Caenorhabditis elegans: one gene and its partners. The protein of the gene in region 1 purifies or fractionates together with the protein of each later gene. This does not show direct contact. Each region holds a gene or a part of one and is shown in the gene's direction. Other genes may lie near its edges.

The links.
Region 2: the proteins of mis-12 (region 1) and knl-1 purify together in Caenorhabditis elegans (affinity purification with mass spectrometry; 2 studies listed by BioGRID). This does not show direct contact.
Region 3: the proteins of mis-12 (region 1) and ndc-80 purify together in Caenorhabditis elegans (affinity purification with mass spectrometry, with the first as the bait; one study listed by BioGRID). This does not show direct contact.
Region 4: the proteins of mis-12 (region 1) and kbp-2 purify together in Caenorhabditis elegans (affinity purification with mass spectrometry, with the first as the bait; 2 studies listed by BioGRID). This does not show direct contact.

The regions. Positions count from the first base shown.
Region 1 is NC_003279.8:3,602,574-3,609,841, reverse strand, and holds mis-12 (uncharacterized protein), read left to right. Parts: upstream 1-4,138; 5' UTR 4,139-4,147; coding exon 4,148-4,229; intron 4,230-4,285; coding exon 4,286-4,353; intron 4,354-4,401; coding exon 4,402-4,482; intron 4,483-4,533; coding exon 4,534-4,590; intron 4,591-4,641; coding exon 4,642-4,731; intron 4,732-4,936; coding exon of another isoform or gene 4,937-4,969; exon of another isoform or gene 4,970-5,013; coding exon 5,014-5,163; 3' UTR 5,164-5,327; downstream 5,328-7,268. Other genes in the region: inx-22 (Innexin), read right to left, coding at 354-440, 490-919, 973-1,226; Y47G6A.25 (uncharacterized protein), read left to right, coding at 1,563-1,680, 1,734-2,041, 2,092-2,349, 2,399-2,684, 2,977-3,062, 3,110-3,376; Y47G6A.31 (RING-type domain-containing protein), read right to left, coding at 5,415-5,718, 6,088-6,298, 6,376-6,418; Y47G6A.3 (uncharacterized protein), read right to left, coding at 6,984-7,151, 7,199-7,268.
Region 2 is NC_003281.10:8,246,602-8,256,059, forward strand, and holds knl-1 (Outer kinetochore KNL1 complex subunit knl-1), read left to right. Parts: upstream 1-4,030; 5' UTR 4,031-4,034; coding exon 4,035-4,180; intron 4,181-4,227; coding exon 4,228-4,317; intron 4,318-4,369; coding exon 4,370-4,775; intron 4,776-4,820; coding exon 4,821-5,546; intron 5,547-5,590; coding exon 5,591-6,134; intron 6,135-6,178; coding exon 6,179-6,519; intron 6,520-6,562; coding exon 6,563-7,342; downstream 7,343-9,458. Other genes in the region: putative GTP-binding protein C02F5.3, read left to right, coding at 23-261, 346-536; TM2 domain-containing protein C02F5.13, read left to right, coding at 750-830, 875-1,212, 1,839-2,052; C02F5.10 (uncharacterized protein), read right to left, coding at 2,132-2,161, 2,211-2,393, 2,441-2,535, 2,742-2,871; C02F5.2 (DUF5356 domain-containing protein), read left to right, coding at 3,036-3,090, 3,141-3,247, 3,291-3,381, 3,428-3,561; F09G8.5 (leucine-rich repeat domain-containing protein), read left to right, coding at 8,374-8,750, 8,827-8,892, 9,290-9,458. UniProt on the Caenorhabditis elegans protein: Acts as a component of the outer kinetochore KNL1 complex that serves as a docking point for spindle assembly checkpoint components and mediates microtubule-kinetochore interactions.
Region 3 is NC_003282.8:10,082,004-10,090,577, forward strand, and holds ndc-80 (Kinetochore protein ndc-80), read left to right. Parts: upstream 1-4,133; 5' UTR 4,134-4,143; coding exon 4,144-4,256; intron 4,257-4,303; coding exon 4,304-4,706; intron 4,707-4,758; coding exon 4,759-5,046; intron 5,047-5,093; coding exon 5,094-5,453; intron 5,454-5,531; coding exon 5,532-5,635; intron 5,636-5,682; coding exon 5,683-5,811; intron 5,812-5,883; coding exon 5,884-6,202; intron 6,203-6,250; coding exon 6,251-6,307; 3' UTR 6,308-6,434; downstream 6,435-8,574. Other genes in the region: W01B6.6 (Tyrosine-protein phosphatase domain-containing protein), read left to right, coding at 2-298, 344-607; W01B6.8 (uncharacterized protein), read right to left, coding at 1,488-1,530, 1,580-1,699, 1,794-1,955, 2,000-2,134, 2,183-2,370; col-2 (Cuticle collagen 2), read right to left, coding at 2,482-3,107, 3,155-3,434; ttr-39 (Transthyretin-like family protein), read right to left, coding at 6,480-6,557, 6,600-6,793, 7,583-7,841. UniProt on the Caenorhabditis elegans protein: Acts as a component of the essential kinetochore-associated ndc-80 complex, which is required for chromosome segregation in mitosis and meiosis and spindle checkpoint activity.
Region 4 is NC_003281.10:4,902,684-4,909,330, reverse strand, and holds kbp-2 (Mediator of RNA polymerase II transcription subunit 21), read left to right. Parts: upstream 1-5,446; 5' UTR 5,447-5,460; coding exon 5,461-5,556; intron 5,557-5,603; coding exon 5,604-5,819; intron 5,820-5,867; coding exon 5,868-6,047; 3' UTR 6,048-6,147; downstream 6,148-6,647. Other genes in the region: F26F4.12 (ANK_REP_REGION domain-containing protein), read left to right, coding at 170-279; rom-1 (Rhomboid-related protein 1), read right to left, coding at 509-832, 883-1,096, 1,152-1,321, 1,368-1,529, 1,905-2,105; F26F4.8 (C2H2-type domain-containing protein), read left to right, coding at 4,024-4,059, 4,128-4,230, 4,277-4,367, 4,416-4,530, 4,580-4,849, 4,893-5,012, 5,059-5,156, 5,204-5,279; tag-340 (START domain-containing protein), read right to left, coding at 6,370-6,476, 6,526-6,647.

The DNA.
Region 1 (7,268 bases):
CGATGGACGGCGAGCTTTAATTCAAAAAAATTAAAAATCTCGCCGTCCATCAATTTTTAAATATCTTAATCAAGTTCAAAACGCAAGGTAATCAACTTGTGTACTCGAAATTTGACGGTGATTTCAAAAAAAAATTGTTTCCAGCCGCTGCGACATTGATAAGTTAGGCAAATTTCCGATTTTAACTAATTTTAGGCCATTTTTTGAGCCGTCATAACTTTTTCCTGAAAAGTTTTCAAGAAGTTTCATTATGAAATTCGGTGTTTTCAGACAATTCTGAGTCTAATAAGGCAATAAAAAAATTCGACTACACCACCTTTAATAGTTTTAGAAGAGCGATATTCTGCACTTACCGCTCTATGAGGATTACATCCCACGATTTGTGGGAAAACTCCGGTGTAAACGTTCTTGTATGCTCCATTCAACAGCTCATAGGAAATCTGAACAATATTTCTTTCAAAAAAAATCCTACAACATCCAATTTCTCACATGAACACCCCACAAAAGCTCTCCGGAGGCGTAGATTTTTGCCATCAAGTTGAACTGGAAAAGTAACGATGCGAATGTCATCCATTTCATCGCCACGTAGATCATCATAGTGGTATGCATACCGAAACGTTCGCGCTTCTTGTGCTCAAGCCAGCGGAGGGTCTCTCGTGCGTCAACTTCATAATTGGAATTGCTGGAATCCATCTTGTCGTCCTTCTTCTTCGACGCAAGAGAACGAACGATTGCAGCAAAGTCGTGGCCGTAAAAGTAATGAAGCCCGAAAAATTTCCACATTAAAGCCGGAACGAGGCACATGGCCACTTGGAGAAAAATGATGAATGGGGTCCACTGATAATAGGTCACAGCAACTTCCTGAGGCATGATGTTATTGATATTCATTGTTCCTTGCCTCGTTGATCTTTTCACAGCGCTGAAAATCACCATTTAAACAATTAATGTCCAAAAACTGTCCAAAAACTGTACTTGTGAAGCGGAGGAATGCGCAGCTTGTCCTGATAGAAGCAGAAATCGTGAAAATAATTGGCAGATGAATCTGGAGTTTCTGGAAGCATCAGACAAGTGATCGGCTGGCCGAACATCATATTGGAAGACACCAAAAATCCAAAGCATATCAAAATTTGGATGGTTGTCGTGTGAACAATCCGCTCGGCGCCGTTATCCCACTCGTGAAGTTGAAGAAACGGCCGGATCAACTTATCGATAGCCGAAAAGCCCATCTGAAAAATGGAAATTAAATTGGTAAAAATCCGGATTGCTTCCTACTTTTCCTGCTTTTTCAGATTTTCGCTCCTTTTGATTAGATGATTGTTTTGAGCTGAAATAATTATTTTAATCTTCAGAAATCCAAGAAAAACATGGAAAATAGTGGAAAAAATTACGATATTTGCAGGAAATTAATTTTAAATTCCAAATAAAAATTTCGCGCGCTCGCAGTTTGATGTGCAGGTTTGTCTACCGTACCCATACGACGAAATTCAAATTTTCATTTTTTAAACAAAGTTTTTATTCAATTTAGATCTTTAGATTCAATTTCAACCCATTTCCGATTAAAAATGGAAGAAGAATTTTCAATGTTTATTATGAGCATGAGCAATAGTATGAGCAGCCTATGGCCTGCTCCAATTGAAATGGATTCAATAGACGAGGGAACTGAAAACGTCGCAAATATTGGTGAGCTATCATTTAAAATTTAAAATTCCCACAGGAAATTTCAATAATTTCAGCATCCAGATGGTCTACCTGCTGCAATATAATCCGTCTGCATATCGAACAAATGATTGGTTGTGAGGTTGACGTGGCGGTGGCTAAAAGCACCGATCTCGGAGTCAGCATGACGCGTGGAAATTCTGATAGCAAGCTTGAGCCTATTTCAACTCTACTTTCAACAATTTCAAAGACAATTGAATCAAATGGCGAGGCGAATGCGGAATTTGCTATTCGGGAAATCGAAAAAATGAATAAAAGCTGCGAAACAGAGTATAAAATCAAGAAATTTCACTGGTTCATCGATGTCGAGATGTTCCTGAATATTGTTTGTTATTTAATATATAATTTTAATGTAATATCGTCCTTTTTTTTTAGAAACTGGCATTGCTCGACCGCGAATTTCCACCAAATCTTACTGTTTACGTCATCGGTGAACTGAAAACTCTTTACGACGATTATGAAGCTGCAAAGGAAGTTGCTACAAATTTTGAACGATCTAGTGTAAACCTACGATTCTTATTGTGTCCCGCTGATTTGAAAGAACTGAACCGAGAAATTATTGCGGAGAAACGGCAAAAAATGAGCGAAAAGGAAATTATTTGTAGATTTGGAAGCGATAAATTCAAGATTAAGGTGTTTTTAGTGAAATTTTGAAATTCAAGTATTTATTTCAAATTTGCAGCTATTCAAGAAACAAAAAATAGGAAGCCATGTAACACTGATCGACTCTATTTCATTTCTCGGATTTTTGCCTGAAATCGAGCTCTGCCGTCAGGGATTCCTGGGAAGCAAACGATCAAATAAGCTGAAAATGGACATTACAACAGATTCTAAACTTGGAAATAAGATTCTTTTTTCCTTATCACAGTACTTGTTAAACGAAACGAAACGTCCTCAAACTGCTCTTTTCTCGTTCTCTTCAAAACCGAAACTTCGTGGATTCTGTATCATGGTGGCGTATGAGAGTGGTCCGTTCTGGGAGTACGGATTTCGTAATGGAACCTCTGAAAAATCTCTTTTTAAAAGATTTTTGGGATTAAAATTTCGAAAAAATTGGACAATTTCTCCAATTTTTGGTAAAATATTCGATTTTGAATTTTCGAATCAGCCAAAACTAGGAGTTTTAGCTGAAATTAGCCACTTTTTCGAAATTTTTAACCACTCAAAAAAAAATTTTGAGATTTTCTTTGGCAATCTCATTACAAAATTTGTTTTTTTTTTGGCAAATTTGTAAAATCCAACTGTAAAATCCAATTTCAGAAAACGATGAAACATCAATCACCCTGATTCAACTCAAAGCATCTCTGGGAAAATGTCTCTGGAAAACCCTGAAATTTGTAAATCAGGTCAGCTTTTTCTGGTTTTTGTTTGAGAATAAAATCAAATTTTTCAGTCAGGTGAACATTCTAGACCGCTTCCCGACGACTCATACGAGCAAATTGCACCGATAGAACGGAAGCAGCTGAAACGAAGATTGTCTCGAATCGAACGGATCGCTTCTTCAGTTGAAGAAAAAAGAGCACAATTTGAGGCTTTCGCCAGGGAATATGACGCTTTGGATGCTCGAGACGCCTTCATGAAGTTCACTTCCACGTGGCAAACGGATCAGGGACTTTTGACAGCGCCCACGCCCTTCGAAGATGATAATAATAATAAATGATTTATTTTTTGAGATTTTTAGAGGATCGAATTTTAGAATAAAGCACTTGGAATTTATAGGTATTTAGGTTTGTTTCGTTGTTTTATTTATTGGTTTACAGCCAAAATTACTTTTTTTTTAACTTTTTAATTCCTCCTATTGATTACCCAGGAACTGCGATTTTCCACCGAAAATACGGTACCAGGTCTCGACACGACAATTTTGTGCTGAATGCGATAGGAATTTCCCAGAGAATCGAAAAATATGCCTTTTTTGATTTTATAAATTTTTTCCGATTTTTAGAGTTAAAAAAAAAAAGGAAAAAGCGACAATTTTCGACTTTTGATTTTGAGAAAATTCCAATTTTTGGATAATTTTCCGTCATTTTTTATTTTTTAAAGACTTTCTTTATTTATTTTTCATAATTTTCATCCAGTTTTTAACTAACAAAACTATTGTCACACAGAAAACCATGAAAAATCGATAAAATATCCGCAGCGACAAAAGTTTGAAATTACAGTAATCCTTAAAAGCGCACACCCGTTTCATTCAACAAATAATTGTCGTTTCGAGACCAGAAACAGTATTTTTGGAGGAAAATTGCAAAATTTTTACGCCTGTTTAATAATAAATATAAATATGTATCCATGTTCCATGTCCGCAATGCGACGTGAGCGTGTATGCACACCTCACCTCCCGCGAACCAATAATCTTCAAAAACAGTTTTTCGCCCTCATTTCTTGATTTAATCCTGAACATTTATTCTTTAAAAATTCAATTCAGAAACTAAAAATGGAGAGCGAATTGTCGGGAATCTCTAATGAAAATCAAATCTCGTTTTTCGGATTTTCGGCCGGTTCGTTCAGCGATTCCAGTGAGTTTTATTGAATTTTCGAACGTTTTTTTGCGGAAAAATCAGAAATCTTTCAGTTTTCAATATTTACGTCGACGCATGGGAAGAAGTTTGCAGCAATGAGTTTAAGAACTCATTGAAAAAGGTTTTTTTTTCAAAAAAGAAATTTAATTTTAAAAAATTTAATTTTCAGCTCACCGACAAAGACCGTCTCTGCTTGCTATCCTTCCCATTCAGCGACAAAACTAACGAGAAAGCATTCAAAATGATGAAGGTTTGACATATTTCTCGATTAAATATCTGAATTTATGCCAATTTTTTTCAGAGATTCTGCGTCACAAATATCTTCAGAATTCCCGCCTCTGTGACTCTTCCAGAATGCGTAAGAATTGCCTTTTTTCGGAAATTATTTATTTAAAAAATCATTTTTCAGAAGAAAATGCTCATCGCGTCGGCCAAGGAGCACAAAAGTCTGAAACAGGTCGAGAAGGAGTTCGACGAGAAATTGGAGAAAATTCGACAGGTAAATAAAAATAAATGAGGAACCTATCAGAATTTTTTTTTTCTTCACTACTAAATGGACTTAAAAATGCGGAAAATATACTGAAAATAGCTTAAAACTGTCCAAAATAGACTACAATGACTGAAAAAGGCTGCAAGTTGAGTAAAAATGACCGCGACTAGACTGAAAATCGTCAAAAAATTCAAGAAAAATTGCTTAATTTTAGAAACCTGCTAAAATCGCCAGTTTTTGCATCTAACCTTTCCAATTTTCACATAAAAGCTTCAAATTCCAAATGTTCAGCTCCGCATCAAACTGGCAAAACGACATGACGAGCTAGAAGCAGTGAACAATGCTATTGAAGTGCTCCATGTGATGGAGAAGAGCCAAGAGCAGCTTATAAGCCAGAAGAGAATTGTCCCCGATAGCCCAACACGAATGTCTCCAGTTTAACCTTATTTGTTCGAAAATCGATATTTTAAATATTTGATTTCTCTTTATTTTCTTTTTTTTTAATCCTATGCTAATTTTTTTCTTGAGCTCAAATTTGAGTGCTTATGAAGCTACACATTTACCAACTTAAACAACTATATAAAAATAAATTTATTTTTGAGAAAAATCGTGAAAAGGTACATGAAAAATAGCATACAATCATTCCACCGAACATCTTTGTGACCCGTATTTCATCGTCTAGAAACACAAAATCAAATCATTTTGAAATAAATACACAGAACAAAAAGAATAATCACAGCAATTACAAGGATCGAGAGGAAGTACAGAACACGTTTTTTCGACGAAATACACGATTTTTTGTCATCCAAAGTTTTCCCGTCGTCTTTATCAATTTCCAGGCTGATCTCGGAGCCCATGCCGAGCTGCTTGATTTTGTGCTCGTGCTCATCCATATGATTGCACGCACAGCCGAAGCAGAACGTGTGCTCTCCGCTTTCTCGGCGATCTTCCCAATTTGCATAGTTTTGGAGCATGCATGTCGGGCAGTAGTAGACGCTGGAATTAAATTTTGAGAAAAAATTATTTTTTGTTTTTTTTTAAGCTGCGATGTTCCTTTTTTTTTCTTAAAATTTTGTGAGATTTCATGAAAAAATCTTTAATTCTTTTAATTTTTATTACTAGCTACGATTTTAAAGGCGCACACTCGTATTTACAAGCGAGGGTCTCGCAGCGAAATTGTTTAGATTAACAACTGCGATGTGCACCTTGAAGATTACTGTAGATTTTATTGAATTTTCTTTAGATTTTTTCGCATACTTCTTTCTTTTTCGATTTGTAAGTAGTTTTTCTTCTTTTTTTTCATTTTCATAACTTTTAAAACACAATTTTCGAATCAAATTATCGATTATTCTTATAAGAGCTTACCTTGACTCATCATCACAATTGCATTCTGGATTCGCCTTCTTTTTCTCGAAAACGGCTAGAATTTCCACATTTGTCGGGATCTCCTGCGTCATATTTACCGCTTCTCGGCACATCGGACACGTGTCCTGGCTTTTGAGCCAATCAAAAAGGCAAGAGTAGCAGAATGTGTGACCGCAGTTCTCCAATAGTTTTGGCAGGTGCTGGAAGTCATCTGAAAAATTGGAAATTTGAAAAAAAAACTGCGAATTATGGCAGAAAGACTAGACTAGTAGAGAAAAAAATACTTACCAAAATCGAAGAAGCAAATTGAGCATTCGAGGCGGGAGGCCATTTCTAGAGAGACAACACCGCGCAACGGGTGGGGCAAGACTGATGAGAAATACTGCACAGCTGCAATGAGTACATCTGCCATTTGGAGACCACTCTATCGATCGTCTAGGGTCACAGTGCGCGCGTACGCGGTGGTCCCGAACACACAGCTGCTGGTATTTTTTCATTATATTGTCACTTGATGGTACAGAGAGAGAGAAAGGGAATGTTGTATCACTTGTAGCAGAGGTGGACGGGAAACGATTTTTCCGGCAAATCGGTAAATTGCCGGATTTGAAATTTCCGGCAAACCGGAAAATTGTCGGAATTGAACATTTCCGGCAAATCGGCAAATTGCCGGATTTGAAATTTCCGGCAAATCGGCAAATTGCTGGAATTAAAATTTTCCGGCAAACCGGCAAATTGTCGGAATTGAACATTTCCGGCAAACCGACAAATTGCCGGAATTAATCAGATCGGCAATTCGGTAATTCAGCAGTTATCCAACTCCAAAATTGTTCAAAAAATTTAAAAAAATTAAAGAACCAAAATTTATTTCCGACAAGTGTAAAGCATAGTACATTTCCTTATTTCTTCTTCTTCTTTTCCAACTTTCCACTAACTGTACTGGCTTTCGGCGTTTTTGACGCAGAAGACTTTGGCGTTCTTGGCGTTTTGGCGTTTTTCGGCATTTTGGCCTTCTTCGGTGTTTTCGAATTTTTCGAATTTTTCGGAGTTTTTGCGTCTTCCTCTTTCTGAAAAGAAAATCTCTAAATTTCCGGCTCCAACATATCCAGCTCACCTTTTCATTCATTCTATCAATACGTTCTTCTTTCTGTCCTGGGAGTAGATCATTAGCATTATCAAACAGT
Region 2 (9,458 bases), on another chromosome or scaffold:
TTGATATATTTATTAATTACAGAGTCGATGAGTTTATTGATGTAATTCAAGGAAATCGTGTATACATGACGTGCCTCTATGTCTACAATAAAGTCGATCAAATTTCGATTGAAGAAATTGATCGATTAGCTAGAATGCCTCATCACGTCGTTATTTCATGTGAAATGAACCTCAATATGGACTACCTTTTAGAGAAAATGTGGGAATATTTGGCATTAGTGAGAGTCTACACGAAGAAACCTGGAAACGCACCAGATCTTGGTAATTTTTAACGCTTAAAATTTGTATTTAAAATTCACATTAGGGTTAATCAATTTTCTCTCAATTCAAAAATGAAAATTTCAGGACCCGAAGACGGTATCATTCTCCGTGGTGGAGCCACTATCGAACATTGTTGCCACGCCCTTCATCGTTCAATTGCTGCTCAACTCCGGTATGCCATCGTCTGGGGAACATCGACGAAATTCTCTCCGCAACGTGTCGGTCTTCATCATAAACTCGACCATGAAGATGTGATTCAGATTGTGAAGAAATAATTTTGTTACTACTGTTTAGTTTTTTAATTATTGTCTTCATAATTATTGCAAATTTCCGTTCTTTTTTTCTTGTTGATTTTTCCCAGCTGGCACCATGCGGTGATAAATTTTTATGTGTTTCATTCAACAGTTCATTCGTAATTTTCGGTTTTTTCCTTAAAAAATATTTGTTTTAAAGATATTATCCGAATTAAACTTTACAAAAATATCCAGATGAGAAGATTACCCTGGCTGATCCCATTCTTTCTCGTAAATATTTCAAACGGAAACAACGAATTTCGAATAGAATTTGAAGTAAGCTGAGCAGTTTAATTTTGATTGTGATTTCCCAATTGCAGTATCCAAATAATGAAAAGTCGGAAAAATGCTTTGATTCATCAAAGGAAAATGACTTATTAGATCTTTTCTATGTATCAACAAATCCACTTGGACCTGTCGTCGAATGTCGTTTTCTTGAGAATTCCTTCATTTTATGTGAGGATCCAGTTCCACTCTACGGCCCTGGACAAACGGGACAGCAACCAGCAAATGAGAGTTTTCGAAATGAAGGAAAATGTCTGAAAATGGGTGGATACAGAGCAGAGGACGTTGAGTTCACGAATGTCAAGTGCCGAGTTCTTCCGTGTATTGAATGTCATGGACCAAGAACGTTTACAAAGTCAACACCTTGTATAATGTAAGCTTTTTTTGAAGCGAAACTCAACATTTTATTTTGATTGAAATATAAATAGCTATTAAAACCTGAGTTTCAAAAAAATTCTGGTCACACTGGTCTCGGCACGACAATTTTAGTTAAATGCAAAACGGCGTGCGCCTTTAAAAAGTACTGTAATTTCAAACTATATTTACTGCCGCAAATTTCGCTGCGGAATGTTCACAGTTTTTACGGAGTTTTACTATAAAATTTATGTGAAAGACTAATTATTTATTTTTGAAAACACTTAAATTTTCACAAATCGAAAGAAAATTTTTTTGTTAAAATTAAAGTGTTTTCATGTTATACATGCAAATAAATAAATAAATAAATTTTATTAAATCAGTTTTCACCAAAAATATTTAAAAAATCGATGAAAGTTCCACATCGACGAAATTTTGAAATTACAGTACTCTTTAAATTCGCATTTAACAAAAAAGGCGTGTCGAGACGTGGTACAGTACTCTTGCCGCAAAAGTCGCAAAATTTCGCGTCCGGGGTTTATTTTAAAAAAATTATTTAAAACTGACACAATAAAGATGCTCCTACGAAGAGATTATATGATTTTTGAAGTATATTCAGAAAAAATATAAATTTCATATTTTCAGATACAATGGTCACTACTTTCTCACAACTCTTCTGTATTCCATTTTTCTCGGTGTGGTTGCTGTCGACCGTTTTTGCCTGGGATATTCTGCAATGGCTGTCGGAAAACTAATGACTTTGGGTGGATTTGGAATCTGGTGGATTGTCGATATATTCTTACTGGTACTTGGAGTACTCGGACCCGCGGATGACTCGAGTTGGGAGCCGTACTATTAAAAGAAATTAACTAATACGAGTGGAAAATTAATTGTTTATTGGTCAATATTTACAACCGATCTCATATTGTCAAATCCAATCATTGCGGCAATTGTGTGCTAACTGTCACCTGTAAAATTTGTAATTTCCTTTGTCATTTACTTTATAAAGAAAAATACCTTAATCTTCGAAAGATCACGTCCGTCAATTATCTCACTGAAAATACGACTCATCATTTGAGCCAGCTTATCTGGCCGTTCGTCAATGATTGGAATGACAGGAGGCATTGCTGCTCTGAACTTTTTGATTTTTTCAATGGTTTCTTTGGAACGATAAGGACCACTGAACACGGATACCTTGTTCTGAAATTGGATGATTAGAAGGATTTACTACAAATTTGAATATTTACTGGAGCATTTTTGACGTTCAGAAGTTCAGCTGAGAACGGTTCATCACTGGCATCCCACTCTCCTTCAGTGCATTCTGGCAGCTGTTCGCCCTTATCTGGAAATTAAACTTTGTATTGTCCAGATGCGAAAACTGTAAAATAGCTTGGAGTTGGGTTACTGTAGTCCTTAAAGCCATACGCCTGTTTTCTAACTAAAAACGCTGCCTAAAAATATTTCGGTCGTGTCGAGACCGGGCACCGTACTTCTCAGCGTAAACTAACAAAATTTCGCATCTGTGTAATATTGAAATTTCATCCTTACCATCATCAGTAATTTGAATCTTCGGCAACTGTCGAATAGATTGCTGAACACTTGGTGCTGGTAGTTCCTCTTCTTTTTCGTCTTTTTTATCTTCTTTCTTTTCTTCTTTGCTTGGTTGCTGCTCTGCCATTTTTTGCCTCTTGATTTTGATTTTATCGTTTTGAAGAATAAAATTATTTCCTTTTCAAAAGATGTTTTTTCTTAATTAAAAGATTTCGAAAAAAAAATGCAATACACGTAATTTTGAGTTTTCACTTATGGAAATGTATTTTACAAATCATTTTCAAATACAAGATGGACAACAAAAAGAAGGAAGAAAATCCTAGTAAATCTGATACTTCTATAAGCCGTGAGTAATATATATAACTTTTCGGTTTTTTTTTTAATAAAAAGTTTTAGTTCCACCAAGCTCAACTGGAGAAGCGCTTCAAAATTATACAGAATCGGAATGGAACGCATCAGATGATCCGTATTCTGCAGAACTTCTCAATGTGAAAAAGAAGCCGGTAATTTTTATTTTTACGTAGATTTTCATTAAAACTTTTCCAGAATCGAGTTAATGTGTTCTCAGCAACTGAGAAGAACATGGAAACTATAATTGTCACTGAAGAATCTCCACCACAAACTCCATTGCCTTTAAGTTGAGAAATCACAAAATTCTGGGAACTTAATTTGTATTGGTTTAGAGCCTGTCGTAGAACACCACAATTTGGCTCGATTGATTCAGAAATCATGTCAATTGCTCTTGGATAAAACTACACCAGATGGAACAGAAGTGCAAATAAAATTAGAATTCCCTGACTGGAGAGATACCGCCTGATTCTCTATGTGTTGAATAAAGCTTAACGGTTAAAAAAAAATTAATTGAAATCTGCCTGAAAAAATATCTAAATACAGTACTCACAAGAGAAACTACGGATTTTGAGAATTCGAATTTCGTAGAAAATATTTTTGCAATGTGTATCAGCTGTAATGGTACATATATTTATTTATTAATATTGAATTTTATCTAATTTTTGAAACAATTGGTTTTTTAAACTATTAAAATTGTATTATACTGCCCCAAGTTAAGGAATTACTCGTAGTGTGCGTTCTACGGAACCGGTGGTGTGTCGAGTGCAGCTTCGCTCCATTGTACAAGTTCAATTTCAAACAGAGATTTGCCGCCAAGCAAAACTGCCTTCGTTTACTTTTCACTTTTTTACTTTTCCCATTTAACGAAGTTTATGCTGCCGTTGTTTTGTTATTTTTTTAATCATAATTTATTACCATTTTTAAAACATATTTACAGCCATGTCGATGGAGCCTCGTAAGAAGCGGAACTCGATTCTCAAGGTGCGGCAAGCCGTCGAAACCATCGAGGAAACCGTCATGAACAGTGGGCCTAGTTCCACAACAACTAATCGACGAGTCAGCTTTCATAACGTGAAGCATGTCAAGTCAGTTAGAGTCAGTGAATAATTTATCAATAAAATAATTATTTCAGGCAGTATGACAGGGACCATGGTAAAATTCTTGACGCCACACCAGTTAAGGAGAAGATTACTGACACTATTGGATCAGATGGTATTTTGACGTGAGTTCCATCCTTTAACGTGAAATAATGAATACGTAAAAATCTTTTTAAGACCACGTGGCGGAAACATGGATATTTCCGAATCTCCGGCCTGCACGTCCTCATTTCAAGTGTTCGGCGGTGGTAATCTCGATAAAACTATGGATATGTCTCTCGAAACAACTATCAACGAGAACAACGAAACGGCGAGATTGTTTGAAACCACAAGAGATCCAACACTATTATACGAAAAGATCGTCGAAACCACAACAAAAGTTACCGAGCGAATTGTTAGTATGCCACTGGATGATACCTTAGCAATGTTCAATACAACGAATCAAGAAGATAAGGATATGTCAGTTGATCGTTCAGTTCTTTTCACGATTCCCAAAGTTCCGAAGCATAACGCTACAATGAATAGAACTATACCGATGGACCTCGATGAATCAAAAGCAGCGGGCGGCCAGTGCGATGAAACGGTATGTTGAATTAATAGAAGGAACCAAATTATCTTAATTTTACAGATGAATGTGTTCAATTTCACAAACTTGGAAGCCGCTGAAATGGATACGAGTAAATTAGATGAAAATAATACCATGAATGCTATCCGGATTCCGATTAATTCAAACGTCATGCCTGTAGACATGGACATCACTGAACATCACACTTTAATTGAAGAAAAGAAAAATGATACATTCGGGCCAAGTCAACTGATGGACATTTCGGCGCCACAAGTTCAAGTTAATGATACTTTGGCCATTTTCAACAGTCCGAGAGACATCTGTAATAAGGGTTTGGGTGTTCCTCAGAATCTAATAAATATCGCCTCGAACGTCGTACCTGTGGACATGGACATCACTGATCAGGCCGTATTAAACGCGGAGAAGAAAAATGATCAATTCGAGACAAGTCAGCTTATGGACATTTCTATTCCGAAAGTTCTAGTAAATGACACTATGGCGATGTTCAACAGCCCGAAACACGTCAGTAAGAGCAGCATGGATCTCGAGAAAACGATTGAAGCCGCTGACAAATCAACGAAATACCCGAGTATCGCAGATGAGGTGGAAGATTTAGACATGGATATGGATATCACTGAACAACAACCATGTGAGGCTGGTAATCAGCAGAACGACGGCTTGCAACTTCAAAAGGAGGATTTAATGGACATTTCGGTGATTCGAGATTCACCTGCAGTAAACGACACCATGGCTGTGTTCCAGAGTCCTGCCAGAGTAAAGATCGGAGCGGTAAGTTTTAAGCACACTTTCCAATAAAAATGTATTTCTTTCAGAACAACTCGATCATTGATTCGCAGAAATCTATCGTGTTCGGTGACGAAATGAGCATTGACGAGACACAAAATGATGGAACCTTGACGTTGCCAAAGTCGAATGTAGAAGTGACTACAACTAATGATGTCTACACGTCTCTCGAGCGGCAAGAGGAAAATGCTTCAGAAAACGTATCCATGATAAACGAATCTTCTGTTCATTCGGAAATCGACAAAAAGTCGTTTATGCTCATCGAAGAAGAAAGGGCTTTTATGCACTCCTCCATGATTGATGTAGCACAAAAGTTGGAAGACGATGGTTCGTCGAAGACGCCAGTCATCCTTGCTTCACAGTCAGCTTCTCTTGCCACTAAAGAACCATCAGCCCTTCACAACTCGAGTGCAACTCTCAACAATTCGATGGAATTGGACAACAATACTCTTCTTAAAACTATGCAAATTACAACGTGTGAAGACATTAGCATGGTCCATGAGTCTATTGCTGTTGAACTGAACAGTAACAAAGAGCAGGAGCAATTCGGAGATGAGACTTTGCAGAAAAATGGTAAATTTCGTTTATTCAATAACTCTATTAAAAGTATGTTTTAGATACCTCGAATACTGGCGCGAATTTCACATTCCAAGGCCATAATGAAACATCGCAAATCATGAACAATGTCGACTCGGAAGCAGTGAACACGTCCAAGATTTCAACATATTCGGCTTTCAATTTGAGCATCAACCAGTCTATCTCTAAACGACGTCGATCTCTTCTGAATTCTGCTCGTGAATCTCCTCGTCGTGTTGCGTTGGAGAATTCTATAATGTCGATGAATGGGCAAACAATGGAAGCTCTGACAGAATATCGACAGAATAAAACTATGCAGACGAGTCAAGATTCGATGCCGAGTATGAGTTTGAACGATTCGGGAAGAGATATTCTCGCGATGGTAAGAATATCTCTTTGAGTATTGAATCGAAAATGTCTTTCAGAATACATCAGTCCGCTCTCCTCATCTGAATTCTTCAAAAACTGCTGCCCCAGGAACACCATCATTGATGTCACAAAATGTACAACTTCCACCTCCATCTCCTCAATTCGAAATGCCAGACTTCGATCCAGCTGTGGTCAACGTTGTATATTTAACATCTGAAGATCCGTCCACTGAACAACATCCAGAAGCTCTCAAATTTCAGCGTATTGTTGAAAACGAGAAAATGAAAGTACAACACGAGATTGATTCTCTGAATTCAACCAATCAACTTTCTGCTGAGAAAATTGATATGTTGAAGACTAAGGAGCTCTTGAAGTTTAGTCATGATGAGCGAGAAGCGATTATGATTGCAAGAAAAGACGCGGAAATCAAGTTTTTGGAGCTTCGTCTGAAATTTGCACTCGAGAAAAAAATTGAAAGTGACCAGGAAATTGCTGAACTAGAACAAGGAAATTCGAAAATGGCTGAGCAGCTAAGAGGTCTCGATAAGATGGCTGTCGTTCAAAAAGAACTAGAAAAGCTGAGAAGTCTTCCTCCATCACGCGAAGAGAGCGGGAAAATCCGAAAGGAGTGGATGGAGATGAAGCAATGGGAATTCGACCAGAAAATGAAAGCACTCCGAAATGTACGCTCAAACATGATTGCACTTCGTTCAGAGAAAAATGCTCTCGAAATGAAAGTCGCGGAAGAACACGAGAAGTTTGCCCAGAGGAACGATTTGAAGAAAAGTCGAATGCTGGTGTTCTCTAAGGCTGTTAAGAAAATTGTGAACTTCTAGTGAGTTTAATATCGAAAAATTAACAGTCAAAAATTATAATTTTAGATGCCGCCTTCACCCTTCCCTTGCATCAGGCCTACAATACTTCTGATGCTCATATAATTCTTTACCTAATGTGCCATATATTTTAGTTTTTTTTTCATCTAAAAATACCCATTGTGCATCAACCGCACTTGCTGTATTTCCTTCAAGATGTTTACCTTTTCCCCTATACATTTATGCCTCAGAGCAATCACAAAGTTATGTTTTTATTCCTAGTTCATTCTCAATCAATCTAAAGGAGACTTATGGTTTGAATAGTCAAATGAATAAATATTCCTTGTAACCAAATTTTTTTGTAGCCGTGTTTTTTTTTGTAAAATGAAGTTATTGTGCGTTTAAAAATCGGAGTTTAAAAAATCGGAGCTTCAGTCTCCTCTCTTAAAAATAATTTTAGCTTACTATTTACTACTGTAGTTCCAAATAGAATATACATAATAAGGCGGGTAGGCAAGAGTTTGACACCTCGGGAGGTACATAGGTACGTAGGTGAGCAGTAAGTATACAAATTTTTTAAAGTTTTACTTTGATTTTTTTAAGTTTTACTTTGATTTTTTTAAGTTTTACTTTGATTTTTTTAAGTTTTACTTTGATTTTTTTAAGTTTTACTTTGATTTTTTAAAGTTTTACTTCTTCTCAGTTTTTAATTTTTATGTGGAGGCTTTGAAAAACAAAAATAAAAATTTGCAAGGGCTATTGAATTTGCCAGAAAAAAATGAAAACTCCAAAAAGTGGGCGTGGCCTGATCAGCCATTTGAATTGTCTTGTTGTAAAATTGAGAAAAAATAATATTTTTATAACATTTTGTACAGTTATATTTGGTCATTACGACCTAGTTGTTCCACTGTTAAGAAGAATCTAACATATAGCGCGAGCTTTCTAAATCAACCTAATAATGAAAATCAGAAAATAATTTTTTATGCACTTGAAAACTTCACAAAAAGCTAAAATTCTTAGAGAAGTTCTGAATATGATCATTTATCATGTTTGAAATGGAGCACTTGTTGCTCTTTTTGTCATGCTTGTCCATGTTGGTTTCTATTGCATTCCAAAGTGTGCTTCTTCCTCTTATTCTACATCTCTTCTCTTTTTTTCTTCTTTCTTTTCTTTCTTTCCTCCACTTTCGTTCTTTCTCTGCCAACAATTTCAAACACCACTCCCTTTTTCTCGTTCCCAAAAGAAGGTCCTTCTCCATTTCAGTTTTACCAGCAGCTGCTCCGTCGAGTCCCTCATCTAACTCGTTTCTTTTTCCCTCTTTGTCCCATTACTTTTACTCATTACGGGACACGACTATGGTGAAATTAACTGAATCGGCTGTATATATTCGTACAAAATGTTCACTAGAGAATGTGAAAAAGCTAAATTTATGGTAGGTTGAAAATTTGAATTTTTAACTCAAAGCAATAATTCCAAAAAAAAAAAAGAAAATTAGTATTCTGTTTCAGGGGGTGCGGAATCGATGACATTCAAGTATGTGAGAAAATGAGCCTTCTGGAAGTTTTATCATTGAGGTAGGTTGTGTCTCATATTATGATTTTCAAAAGCTTTTTGAAAATCTAGATTATTAGTTAGATGTTCCTTTTATAGATGGGGAACAGTAAGTGAGGATTTAGTTTAAAAGCACTTATGAAGGCAAACATGGCTGAATATCACAACAAATTTTTTGAATTAAAAAAAATCAGTCATAGTTTTGGTGAATTGCAAAATGTATCTAAAACCAGGAAAACTTTCTGGAATCTTTTTGTTATGCTTTGAAAAATCTGAAAATCATTTCACCAATATACTCCTTTCTGGAGGATTTCTTTGTGGGAATCTTTTTAAAGTTCCTATGATCATTTTAATAAAATAGTCTTCATTTAAAAGTTCCAAAAATTACCTCATAATAGAATTTAAATATAACATTTTCAGTGTTAATGAAGTGAAATCCCTTGCCCCTCTTCAACACTGTAAAAATCTGAAAGAAGTGTACTTACGGAAGAATTGTTTGGAATCGTTAGATGAATTGGAATATCTGAAAGAATTACCGAATCTAAGAACCCTATGGATTGACGAGAATCCTTGTGTTGGAGAAGGTGGT
Region 3 (8,574 bases), on another chromosome or scaffold:
GGAAGAAATTGTTTCGATAGTGATTGCCGTGATGCCATTGGAATGTTCAGTTACACTTCAACAACTCTTCCCTCTTCTCAGTGGAACATTTTCCAACCACGGAAAAATGTTTCTGAATAACAAGAAAGTTGATTCAGCAGTGGCAATGACAGCGTATACTCTGGAAGTTCTTCCCGATGGATGTTCAAATTCTTTGTTATCAACAGTGTATCATCTCCACAATTGGAAACAGAAACAAGGACTTGAGAATGTTGGAGAACTTGTTACTACTGTAGAGAAAGTCTTGAAAACAAACGAGGTAAATTTCTGAAATAAAAACAATAGTACAATTTTTTCATTTCAGAACACGGTGTTGATGAGCATGAATGGAATTGGGCGAGCAGGGACCATGTTAACGCTCTTCACATCAATGCTTTCTGTTCAAAAAAGCAAAGAAGTGAATCCGAAGGAGATACTGATCAAGCTGAGAGGAGAAAGAAGTGGTCTCGTAGAAAACGCTGATCAATTCAATACAGTTCATCGAGCTATGGCTTTATGGTTTAAAAACAAGTGTTCGGATGAGGAAGTTCAGAAGAAGGTTGTAGAATTTGCTCCAAATGTGCAATAAATCTTTTCAATTTTTTCTGTTTGTTGAAAAGCATTTGTTGAATAGTATTTACCTTTTGCGGAAAAATTAATTATTAAAGTTTCAATAAACTCAGTCTTCACAGAGTTTCTCAGAAGCTCCTTCAATTATTCGAGACAAAGACGTCGTTGTCCTTATTTTCAGTTGACCACTGAAGCCGTGGAAAGAAGTAGTTATGAATATTTGAATTCGCAACATTTTCTGTAGTGCGTTTTCTGCAAAAAAAAATTCGTGACGCTTCTTCCAGTCCGATCCTCTTGGAATCAATGCTCCACCAACACCAGATGAAGCAGGTCTTACTGAAAAAAGTGGAAAGAAGCATGGAAAGAAGTAAACTATGATTTTGAATAAAGAATTCGATTATGAATTTGTATTGCTGAAGTTAAAAGAAAAATTTATATCCTCAAGTACAGTTGGCTCCTCCGATTAGTCTATCATTTTAGACCTTATGAAGATTCAATATTTTTCAGGCAGATTTCTGATTGAACATTGATCTTTGGGATTCTAAGTTTAACTGGAGAAAATTAAAGCTTTTCTCACTTCAAGAAATTTTCTAATCTGGTTTTACTGTTGACAACATGAACCTTTGAATCTGTTAGTAAAAGTTATAATATTTTTCTCCCAGAGGGAGAAAAGAGACACACTTGGTTAACGTTTCGACTGGCACTGGCTTATTTAACAACTCGGTAAGAGCGTTTCAAAACGGAAGGAGACCAAAAAGATTATCTAACATGCATAAAATTTGGAAATGTAGTGAATTGCATTTTATTTCTGTGTATTTAAAACTATAAAAAAGAAATTTTATAAGCAACGACTTTATTTTTGCTCAAGTCTAATCAATTCTTCAAAAAGTTCCAAACAATCACGGGATATACGATGTTTTTTCGTCCGGATCATCTGGCTTTCTGAAAAACAAAAATGATTTCGCTACACTTTTTTAAACAATTTTCTTACGTGGCTCTTCGTTTAACTCTTTTCAAAGTATCAGCGAATTGTGCTTTTCTAGTTGGTGCAGTGTGCAAGTCTGTTTTTTGTTTGTTTGCTGGCGTGAGGATGTTGCTGGATGTTTCATCTCTGAATAAATACTTAGGGTATTTGGATTACTAATAATAAAGCCTACTCTACATTCTATAATTTAAAAATCTCATTTGATAGGCGATTTACTCACTTTGCTGCCTTTCCCAATGGTACATTGATAATTTCAGTTTTTGCAGATTCCGTTTCAGATTTCTGTGAATTTCTCAAAGAAACTTGATTGTTACTTGAGATCCTAGAATTGGTAAATCTCTGAGCTTGCGGTGCCCGGCGTGGTACTTTTAGAGAATCAATTCTGAACAGTTTCAAGATATAATTATATTGGATATTGAATCTTACACTGTGATTTTCTCCTTTTTCATACTTTTTTCACTCGATAATCTCCTCTCACTTTTCTCAGAAATCAATGAAGATTTTGACGTTGCCGCTGGTTTACATGCTCTTTCAGATGACGTCGTTTCTCGAGAACTCTTACTTAATTTTATTAACTCTTTGATGTTTTTTTTTTAAATATTGACCTACCTCTTCTGTGAATTTTTAGAGACACAAGTCGTTCCAATGATGAGTTGTAACATTAACGACCAGAATAAAAACAGAATAATTGATATTTGTGAATACAAGCACATTATTTTGCTTGAACACCCCTCAGATGTTATATTGAAATATTGAGAAATAAACGGAAATTTTGAAAATGGAAAATTATTGAACATATTTCGAGGATTACGTTTTTAAAAATATTTCTTCGTGTGGTATGTAGATGTTATAAACAAAGAAGTTGAATGAAAAATGCTTTATTTGGCACAAACGGCACGCTTCTAAATTTAGCGGCGTCGGGTTCCGTCCTCAAAGAAGACTCCTCCGTCGATAGCACAATACTTGGGGCAGATTCCCTTCTCTCCTTCTCCTCCTGGCTTTCCAGCGGTTCCTGGTCCTCCTGGGTTTCCGTCAGCTCCTGGTGCTCCAGCAGCTCCTGGTGGTCCCTTTGGTCCAGCTGGTCCTGGTCCTCCGGTTCCTGGGGCTCCGTCATTTCCGGCTGGTCCGGCTGGTCCTGGTGGTCCAGCTGGTCCTGGCTCTCCTGGTCCTCCTTGCTCGGATGCTCCTGGTTCTCCTGGTCCTCCTGGGGCTCCTGGGGCTCCGTCGTTTCCGGCTGGTCCTGCTGGTCCTGGTGGTCCGGCTGGTCCTGGGCCTGATGGTCCGGCTGGTGATCCTGGGTTTCCATCTGGTCCCGGTGGTCCTGGTGGTCCGGCTGGACCAGCTGGTCCTGGTGGTCCTCCTGGGCATGGTTGGCATGGTGGTTGAGTAACTGGCTCACATGGAGCTGATGCTCCTTTTCCTGGATTTCCTGGGGCTCCTGGAGCTCCTGGCTTTCCTGGCTTTCCTGGTTTTCCGGGAGATCCACCTGGTCCTGGTGGTCCAGGATTGCAGCATCCATCACATCCTCCGCCGCCTGAAAATGTATTCAAATACTTAAACTCTGTGAACCAAGATCCTTACCTCCGCCTCCGCCTCCTCCAGCTCCTCCAGTGGAATAAGCTTGACGAGCAACACGAGTATTGTTTCCTGGAGCATCCTTAATAAGATGCACCTCACTCCAGATATCACGAGCAGAAACCTTGCAGAAATTAACATCAGTGTGAATCTGTTTCTTCACATTATTAACATAGTTATAAACCATTGGCAATGTGATGAAAACAGAGACAACGGCGACAACCGAGAAGGTGACTGCCGAATAGGCAACAAATTTATAAGCTTTGATACGAGCGTCGATGTCCATGATTACTGTTGGAGGGTGAGTGATGGACTGAAGAATTCCAAAAGAACTGATGTTTTTATACTAGAGACGTCCATGGCTATTACTTGGAACTGGTATAATTGTTCTTGTTAAGGAGAAAGAAAAGAGAAAGAATAAGAGGATCCAGTTCTGTGTTATCACTCCATTGGTTAAAGATACTGGTTTATTATTGTAAACTATATCAGTTTCTCGAAGAAAAAAAATTTGACGTAATTATTGGCTGGAAACTTCAATTACAAAAATGCAAATATTAAGGGGCAACTTCTGTTTATCAATATACCGACTGGAAATGATCTAACCATTGTAGGAAAATTCAATTCTATTGTATATTAATCGTGTTTGAAATTATATCTCAAAAGTTCCAACAATTCCTTCATTCTGGAATCTCCGGAAATCAGTTTCCTCGCGAGTGCAGCGTCTCTGTAATGTAAGTGCGCTCCAATCACAATTGCTATAGCGGGAAAATTCAAATGTGACTTCTCTCTCTCTCTCTCGATATTGTTTTTACTCAAATTTCTATTTTCGTTTTTTTTTTCATAAATATTTCTGTAAAAATGTTTTTTCTTCTTTAAGTTGGAAAACAAAGTTCTCAATAGTTGCCAGAATTATTTTTTTAAATTTTATATGCGTCGCCTTCCGTTAGTATATTCAGTTCTGGTCAATTTTATTCGCTCATTACAGTTTCTTGACAATGTTTGGAGATCGAAGAAAAACGGGCGGCTTGAATCTCAACGGACGTGCCTCAATCGCTATCACTCCGACTAAAAGATTCACCGATTATACTGGATCAACATCAGTCAGAAAGTAAAAATATCCAATTTCGTGCGATGAAGAACTAATCTAATTTGCAGAACTGACGCTCGCCCCAGTCTGAGTCAACCTCGTGTGTCATTGTTTAATACTAAAAATTCATCAGTTGCTCCGCGAGATGTGAAATCATTGGTCAGCTTAAATGGAAGCAAAATTTACAACTTTCTTGTGGAATATGAAAGCTCGGATGCACCATCAGAACAGCTCATTATGAAACCTCGTGGAAAGAATGATTTCATTGCTTGTTTCGAATTAATTTACCAACATCTCAGTAAAGACTACGAATTTCCACGGCATGAGCGGATTGAAGAGGAGGTGTCCCAGATATTCAAAGGTCTTGGATACCCGTATCCACTCAAAAACAGCTACTACCAACCAATGGGATCTTCTCATGGATATCCACATCTTCTTGACGCACTTTCTTGGCTTATTGATATCATTAGAGTTAGTAACTGATTTTTTTATTATTTTCATCCCTATTTATTTAACCATTTAGATCAATTCTGCTGTCAGTGAGGACACACAAAATATCCTGTTCGGTGATTTCATGGAACAGGGAAAAGCTCAAGAAAAAACGCTCAATTATGCATGGATGACAAGTACATTCAGAGATTATACAAATGATCGAAAAGCAGCAGAAAATCCCAGTTCTTCATACTGGGACGACACGAAGCATCGTCTACGGAAGTATTTCGAGCAATCCAATGAATTCGAGGATATGACTAAAACAGCTGCATCAGCTCTGGAGATGCTCAATTACGAATGTGATGAGATAGAGGCTGATGTAAGTAGAATTTCGATACTTTTGTTTTAAAGAAGTTTTATTTTCAGAAAGGAAACGAAGCAAGCTTAAAAGAAGAGATATCAAGAATCAGAGACGACATCCGAAAAGCTAAAGATTATCTCGAGCAAAATCTTCATGTTAAGCAGCATATGGAGAAAGAACTGGCTATGGTGAAGTCGGAGCAAGAGGAGAAAATTTCAGAAAATGAAAAAGTGCAAAAGATGGTGGACGATCTGAAGAACAAAATTGAGTTGCAAAAACAAATTCACGGATTGACAGGAAAAGAAGTGCGTCAAATGAATCTTGACAATAATAAAGACAAGGAGGTGGTACTGGAAATTCAAAGCGAGTTGGATCGTCTATCAAAAGAAACATGGAAACTCAAAGATGAAGACTTCTTCAAAGAGGTATTCTAGGTTTTTGGAAAGTTGAATGCCTATCATTCACGGAAATACTTGTATGACAATCAAATTTGTATGTTTCAGCAAAAGTCCAAATTCATTCATCTCGCAGAACAAATCATGAAAATTCTCAGTGGACTTAATATTCAAATGAATCTTGAACCACTAAGAGCTCCAACGAATGAAAGGTAAATTTCTAACAATTTATTAAAAATTCACAAATCTACATTTTCAGAGATCTTAAGGATTACTGGGAGACGTTGAACAAGATATGGGTTCCAGAGATCAGCCGACAGTTGCATCAGAGAAAGCTTGAGCTTGAGACTGAACAGTCAAGATTTTCAAATAAAGCAGTTACCGCAGAGTAAGTTGTACTCGAATTAAGCGCCGTTCCATTGAATGTTAATAATATACACATTTATAAACAATAATTCAGAGAAAGAATCCAAATTCAAAGCGAAACACTCTGTGAAGCGAAGAAGAATGAGGCTCGCGAAGAACGAATTCGTCGAAACGAACGTGATAGCTGGAAAGATGCTCGCAAACATATTGAACAACGATATGAACAACTATTGAATGAAAAAGAAGTACTTCTAAAGCAAATGAAACTTGATGGAAGCCTCGAGAAAGAAATCGAAGATGAGACCGCCAGAATGTCTGCAACTGGAGAAGAACACATACAAAAGAGATCTCAATTGGAAGCTGGAATCCGGCAAATATTGGATCTGATGGTAGTGGAAATCGCCGAGATTGAGGTAGGTCCTGTCAATTTTACTGAGCTATTCTATTTTTCATTTTTTCAGAACAAAAAGATAGGATTCCACGTGCAATGTGCTGGCATTGAAAAGGCGGTTCTTTAGTCTCCTTTGGCATAATCATTCTGTGAATAATACTAGCTTTCATTAAAAGAAAAAAAAAATGACTCTAACATTTATTTCTGTGGTTTAGACTTATTTTATAAAAAGCCAATGAACAATGATTTCCAGCAAAGCGAACTTTAATATATTACACAAAAAATGGTTTCAAGCAAGTTTAATAACAATGTGGTTCCTCTTTGTGCTTCACACCGATTTCCATGTTAGGAACTCCTAAGTCAAACCACTTATTCACCTGAAAAATTATTTTGATGGAGTATGAAGTATCATCAATTACCTGCATCCCCTTGTTCACATAATTGTCTGGGACAGTGAAAGTAATCTTGCGTCGACAAACTTTGGAAGATGAACGACAATTGTGATATATACGTAGTTGGGGATCAATTGCAGTTATTGAAATTGCAAATCCAGATACTTCGAAAGTTCCGTCTTCGTTTACATGGGTTTCAGCAATAAGATCGTCTGGATCGACTGAAAATTGAATTTTTTGTAGTTTTTTGAAGCAATGTTTTATAACGGTTTTGTGGGGATCGTCCCCACAAAAATAGACGAGAGATCCTGTTTTTTAAGTGAACAATGTTTTATCATAATTTGTTCTTGTTTTGGTATTCACTTGAATTTAAATATTTCTAGGTGTATCGTGGCCCTTTACCGTCCAGTGAGTACATTTAGTTTTTGGTAGGAGTGCACAATTTCAGACGTACGCTCCTGCATGCCTACGCGATTTCCTGATTATCTGCATGTAGTCACGCCTACGTGCCTACCAACATATGTGCCTGTATGACGCCCTTCTACCTATGTGTATACAACCATTCTGCATGTTTGTTCTATCTAAATTTTTTTTTCAAATTCGCGTTCCTACTCATGCCTACAAATATAAGTCCCTGCCTGCCTATGTGCCTACCTGTCGACGTGCCTGTCTTACTAAATAGTCGATTTGAAAGCTTGATATGTGAAAGATCGGACTCTCTATTCCTAAATAGCCCCATAACCAGGTTGTTTCAAAATTTTCCAAACACACCGGCTTTAGGAAATTTTTTGATCCTTGGAAATAACATTACCAAATTATCTTTCGAAATTATTGTACTCTATCTTTTCAAAATTCACTTAGTTTTGAGACATGTAGTGAAGTGTCTGAATCTCTGATTTTGTTATAAGACCACGTGATAAAATTTATCAATCTGAATGTCAACATATTCCATACAACTACTAAAGCTACCAAATAACATGATTCAGAATGTTAAACTGATTATCACTTACACATATCATTATCCCACAATTTGACAGTGGCATTCCTAACTGGGCGTCCTCCACACATTAATTTCCCTTTTACGCCGACTGCCTGTTTTCTTCCAATTGCACGAACTTTGTCAATAAAACGAACTGGCGGCTTCTGAGTTGCAATTAATTCAATTACTTCATCTGTTTCAGATGCATTTGCATTGATTTCATCGAGATTTGAAGCATTGGAGAATGTCAAAAGGATTGTGGCGAATAGTAGAACAATCAAAACTTTCATGATTTTTTGTTTTAACAAAATTGTGAATGCGCAAACAAAAAAAGTGAAATAACAGAAACAACTTCTTGTCTTAAATGTCTTTGTAATCCTAACATAATCCCGAGAAAACAAAAAAGATTTATTAATAGGTTCAAAAGATTAAAATAACAACGCAACTCTTTGCTTATGTACTTCAAAGTTTCGGTTTTCTCATGAAAATAAGAAAAAGAGTTTGAGAATTTTCTAGAATTTGCAGGACTTTTACAAACATCAACAACCAGTAAACATTTATCGATCAGAAACCAAAAACATTCTGGAGAAATTCAAAGTTCAGAGAGTTTTTCAGAGAGATCATAAGCCTATATGGGCACAACAGGACCTTCCCGCCTACCTAAATTTTACGGTGAAAATGTTTTAGAACATTTTCATGTTACATCCATTTCACCTATTAGGCTTCACCTATGCAGGAAATTTCCTTTTTCCAAATTCAGTAACGCTTGGCTCTGCTTTCAAACTTTAGGAACTTCTATATACTAATTTCAGCATTTTGTATCTTTCTCGAAGCGAACACCCTTTTAATCCACTTTTTCATACAAAAATACAAATTCGATATTTGTATTTTAGAGATCTTTTGAAGTGTTCCAGAATAGTTTGCTTTTCTCTACACAAACGTCAAAGGTTTCCTTCGTCACGATTGCCTAGATATACTTCGTGCCAACGAGAATAGATAAAACTATTTAAATTTAAGTCGTGT
Region 4 (6,647 bases), on another chromosome or scaffold:
TATTTTTTTACCAAAAAAAATTAAAATTTATCAACGAAAACGTTTTAAAGATCACAAAAAAATACCGGGGAACTTATGATAAAATTCATACTAATTAGAGAACCAAATAAATTTATTCAAGATAGTTAATAAATTATGGAATACTCAAAAATAAATATTATTTCTACAGGAATCGACGCTGGAGTCATAGCTGGTAACGGAGATACCCCCTTGATGATGGCTCGGCGAACTTCTGAACAACTCTACAATGCAATTCGCGATTTTATGGAACGACCTTAAAGCTCTAACCTTACTGTGAACGAATCTCAATTTTTGGGTTTATGGAGGCGGTTGTTTATATTTTCCAATTTATTTAATTAAAACATGATCTGAAACGAGAATCTTCATCATTATCACAAAGTAAGCACAGAAAAGCCATCAAGGAATGTATGGCGGTAGTTCAAAACAAATACAAATAAAGCTAGAACCCGAGGAAAATGTCTATATAAAATTATAAAATTATTAAGTTCTATGAGCAATTTTCGTTGTTCCACAAATTTTTGGAATATGGCTGACGAACAATCACAAAAATAATAGTGGTTGCAAAAAATGCAGAGTATAGAAATAGGCAAACATATCGAATTATTTTCTCAATTCGATGTTCTACTACATTATAAAGTACTACATATCCAAAGAATAATCCAGTGACTGCTCCAGCAATATGGGCAAGATGTGACACAGAATCACAGTCATTTGTATAGAATCGACGATGAATGGCTCCACCGAAATCCAGAAAGATGAACACGAAGAGCACCAGGACTCGGATCCATCGTAGTGGCATTTCATGCCAATTCTATAGATATAGAGGTTTAATTTTATAATTTCTTTAAAAATTGGACTCACCAGAATAACATTTGCTACATGTGCGAAAATGAGAGCATAAACTCCTGCGGAAGCACCAACTAGAAGCGAATTCGGGTCAATAGCATACTGTAGAAGAGAACCAGAAGTCACTGCCAACAGATAAATTGGACCGATCCTCCAGATTTTATGAGCAACTTCCAATGGAATCCCGACTAATAGTTGGATGATGACGTTTCCGAGAAGATGGTTCAGTCTGTAAAAAACCAAAGCTTGTTTCAAATTTTCGAAAATTAAATAATCCGACTAACCCAGCATGCAAGAACATATAGGATGTGAATCTCCACGCTTCGCCTCTCAATTTTGGCGCAAAAATGAAGATTCCCGGAGCTGTATGATTATGGTGCACGAAACAACCAGCACAATCTGTCCAGATGCTTCTACCACCGTCGGATTCCCAGTAGAAAAAGAAAATTCCAACCTGCAATTGTAGAAGTTTAATTTGAATCAAAAAGTATTTGGTTTACCTGGATGATGGTGATCAAAAGCATAAAAATCGGCGGTGGGCACCATGAATATGAGTCAATATAGGAGTGAACTTCGATCTTCTGACTGTCGCTCATTATAGGATCTGCCATGTCATACATGATACGCTTGATTGTTGATCGTTGTGCAGCTTTTGAAGTCACCTGAAATTACATGTGTATTTGGAATACTTTATTAAATTCACTCAGTTCAAAATAGTTCTGCCCATAACTGTGGGCAAACTTCATACAATTACTTTTGCTATGTTTATTCAAAAAAATGTATGATACTGTATAGTTTTTCAGCGAAACCGCGAGTTTTTAAAGGCTCATAGTAATTTTGCTTATGGGTCTGGCACGATCTACATTACGGAATTGTAGATTTTTCGGATTACGAAATAATTTTGAAATGTTTCCTCAGAAATTACTACCTACCAATTGAGTCATTGGTACTTAACCAGTCGCCCTCATTTTTTTACAAAATAATCTAGTCATCACAGACTTTGCAACAAAAAAGTTTAAAAATAGCTGGAAACCTACGATTTTCTGAAATCCATCAATATCGACCAACTCATCTGGAGCTTCCTTAATTGCATGAATCTGCCCGTTTGTCAATGGAATTTTTCGTGTTTCAATTCGAGACGCAAGTGTTGACATTGGAATCTCTGTCTCATCTCCTGTCCGTAGTTGATTAAACTGATGACGGTAGGTTTTTCGGAATTTTCCTTCGCTACTAAACATGTTGTGGAGAAGGAGAACTGAAAATTGGAATTGTGCGGTCGAAACGAGTGCAAAGATTAGTAGAAACGATAAGAGAAGAGACTAAGAGGATAAGTTGAGGAAAAGTTGGAAATTTTGAGCTGTATTATCAGTTGGCAACAAAAAAGGCGAAATTTCGATTATTGCCCCGAAAATATGGTACCCGGTCTCGACACGAAAATTTTTCGTTAAACGATGTGCACCTTCAAATAGTACTGTAGTTTCAAAATTTTGTTTTTGGGAAGTTACCATCGATTTTTCAGATCGAGTTTAATTTTTCTCATTTTTAAAAAATGTTATGTGATTGTTCTCGTGTGTAAAAATATATATTTCAATCGAAGACCTATAAAACATCAATGAAAACCATGTTATGCCTGAATCTGGTGAAATGTGTAGTGAGAAGAATAAGGGGGTTATCGCAAGATCCTAAACATAAAAAAATATATGCTGAAAATGTAAAGACCGATTTGAAAATAAAAACAAAAAAAAAGAAGTAGATGTCACTTCAAGACCATTTATTGACTCTACTACTCTTCCTTTTCTCTCCATGAAAAAAATGGAAATGTCGTTTCGAATCAAAAAGTGAGAAGTGAATGAAGTGTGTAGATGACTCACTGGCGGTATACGGAAAGAAAAGAGAGGAAAGGTGATACAAACTGATAAGAAAACTGTGTGTGGGGAAATAATGTGGAAGAGAAAGAGATATAGAGATAAAAACGGGAAGAACTGAGGAAATATAGATCTATTGCATATGTATTTGCATAAGGGGGTTAGGCAGTGCTAATAGTTTTTACAAGAATGATGAAACATGAGCATACCAGAAATATTATTGGAATGAGCAAACTCGCACGGAAACTTTCTCTAGTTTATTTTTGAACCCTCTATTGGTTTATATAGGATTACAAGAAGACAATCAACATCAAACAAGTGTTGCAACGTGCCAGAATACGGTCCCCGGTCTCAATTTTTCCTTTTTCTGGCATTCTTATTAATACTTGTGAAAAAAGATTATTTAATAAACAGCAAAATGTGCAAGGAAACGAGATAAAGTGGAAACTACAGTACTCCTCAAAGGCACACATTTTTATGTGCGACATTTTTTAAAAACTGTTTTAGGTGTGCCGAGATCGGGAACCGTAATCATAAATTGCAAACATTTATATGCGGTCTTATTAAATACTACAAAATCGCAACAAACAAATGAACAGCTTCCCTTGGGTGTCTTCTGTTTTTGTTTGACATTCTTGGGAAATAGTAGTTAAAGTTTGTTGCAAATGTCAAAGGAGATATTGAGTAATGAATGATGCGCGTAAATCGACCTACTTATTGGATAGATTAGAGATTCATATCTAACTTTGTAATTCTATGTGCATTAAAGGTGTATAAAATATATATGAGTGTATATTGTGTTATGAAATATTGTGAATGAACGGGTGTATGTCAATGACAGCTGCTCTTTTCCTTGCTCTTTGTTCAGGTTTTGAGTGCACCTCTGCAGACCTCTGCCAATTATTTTGGCAAAAGAAAACGGGAATTTCTAGGCCACGCACTTTACTCGATTCTGAACGGAATAACAAACCAATTTTCAAAAAGAAATTGTATTAAAACAAATAAACATATCATTGTGCATTGTATTTATTGAAACTAATTACAATTTATGATCCAATATTATGCAAATCGATCAGTTTTTGATAGGTACCCAATTCGTGGCCGAGTCTCTCGGAAAGCTAGGCCAAATGCCGTTTTTGGCGGCAGTCGACGCGTTTTGAAAAAGAAAGAATGAGGACACGCAAACGTTTTTCTTGTCAAATATTCCCGTGACCTTTTGACAACTCATAATCATGGAGACGTGTAAGATTGATGATATGGACGGTGACGGTGAATCATTATTCAGTGTTAAATGGAAGGCCTTCCGGAAGAATCCGCGATTCTCGAGGTAATTATTAATATTTATTCAAAGCTTTTATATTTTTACTTTTAAGTATCATAATCAAAACGTTTCAGGTGAATGCCAATACAACTTCCCCCGATGTAAAAGTTAAATGTAAACAATGTGATCGATTTTTCACGTCTGAAAGATCCCTTCGTTGTCATATCAAAGTGCACAGTTAGTTTCAGGCGATTAGATTTATGAAACCAATATTTATTTTTAGATGACAAATTGTTGGAGTGCTATTTCTGCGACAAAATGTTCAATCGAACGGATACTCTGTTTTTCCACGCACTCGACCACATCAGCAAAGGGTAATTGCAAGAAATATTTTGAAATTTTTGAAAAACTGTTTCGTTCAGAACTCTACCTTGTCGTGCCGAAGGATGTGATCAACTCGTTGAGACCATGTTAGAGGGCGAGAATCATGCGAATACAGCTCATCATGTGAATGGTACAGTATCGATAAAGTGCAAGGTAAGTAAAATATCGATAGATTGAAACAGAACTAATCAAAACATTTCAGGATTGCTCCGAAGTTTCAGTATCCTTCCGTAAAATGCTATTCCATCACACATTCAAGCATGGAGAACTTAAAGAATATGCGGAGGAAATGATTATCAAGCAGAAAGATTTCCTTCGAATGAAAAAGAATCAAAGCCGGAAGGAAAGAAAAACTTCAGTTGGAGCAAAGGAAGAATCAAAGCAATTCGATGTTCAAGATGCTTTAGAAATCGAAGTCAAGGAAGAAATCTATGAAGCAGACGAAGATGATGGGATTTTAAAGCAATTGCAGGTTGGATTTATAGCATGATAGAGGTTGAAACTTGAATTTTCAGATGGCTATGTCTGTATCATCAGCTTCCAATTCGGAGATGATCGCGAAACTATCGGATGTGATTGCAGAATTATTCCCATTGAATGATAACGAGAAATACCAATGCACTCATTGCTTGATGGTATGGTTTTTGCTCTGGAAAATCTTAAAAACGTAATTTTTCACAGAGTTTCACCGACGCAATCCTCTGGATGACGCACATTGGATATCACGAAATTGACGATCCGTTCAAATGTTCTGGATGCGGCCGAAAGTTTGAGAATCGGTAGGCTATTTCGAAGATTTTGCTCTGAAGATCAGTAATAATTACAGACAAGCGTTCGCTCTTCATCTAAACTACTTCGCACATACAATTGGTTTTGGAGGAGAAAACGAAAGCGATGAATAGTTCTATTTCATGTTCCTTTATTTTATTTAACAAATAAATATGCATAATACTTGTATTTCTGCTCAAATTTATTCCTGCGTGAAGTTCCATAACTTTTAAAATACTTCTTGTTTAATTTCGTTTCATAGTTTCTTGTTAAGTGTATTTGTAAGTTTTCCGCGTTTTAGATAAAATCAATATCATGTCGCAAAGAAAAGAAGTCTTGAATCAAATGCTGGACACAACTCTGGAAATATTCACAAAATCATTGTTAGAGTCCCAGGATTTGTGGAAAATGGTAAGCTTGATATTTTTGCACGTTTTATCCAGAACTAAAATTTTCAGAGTTCTCATAGAAAACTCAACATGGATAAAGCTGCAGTGGATGCTGTGATGGCTCGAATGGCGAAATCAACACAACAAAAAGTTTTGGAGAAGACTGATCAAATGATTAAAGAAAATAGTGTTTACGAACTTTTCGATGATATGGAACAATTGACGAGAGAATCTGAAGAATTAAATAAGCAACTCGGAAGAGAAATGGGATATAATCCAGTCAATGTTTGTATATTGATTTTAATATTAATATACACATTTTCATCGTTTTAGGCAAAACGAGATGTCGCATTGCACCTCTCCGAAACTGCCGAGAAAATGCTCACTGAAGCAGATGCTGAAATCGAAAAGATTGAAAAAGAACTGAAAGCTGAAGAAGATGAAATAGCTCGTCGTAAGCAGGTGCTCAAGGAGCTTGCAACAATTGTCGAGTCACAACAGCAAAAGCTGTAGAATTTTGATATTAATATAACCTTCACTTAATTTAACTGAATCTTTCTTTTCCTATTTACCAAATTTTTCTGAACTTTTGTTTGTCTCTAAAATAAAACTTTCTCTTCAAAAAAAACATCTTTCGGAATAATTAATATTCATATTGGTTTGGAATTGTGAGGGGAAAATTCAGAAAGGGCAAGGAGGTATGAAACTTTAAAAAGTGATTAGTCATGATAAAGGTTAGCAGGAATATCTAGCGATGGGAAATAGGGGACAGATACTTACAGAAAAAAAAAAGTAAATCACATTCAAGGTATAAAATATAATTTTGTGTTGAATCTCAAGGAGGACAATGATAATGGGTTTCTGCGAACTCATTCATCCGTTTCACGTGCTCACTGAAGTAATTGACCATTCCCGAGTGAACAAGACGGCGTGGAAGGCCACCTGAAAAATATAATGAATAGAAAAATTGATAAAGTTTTAGTTTTCATACCTTTGAGATCAGTCTTCATGAGCCATTCGAAATAAGTTACTCCTGCTTCATCTTTCAATGTTCGAATCATGGATGGGAAATTGTGTCCTCGTACGATTTTCGGATTTCCATTGTTTGGGCAT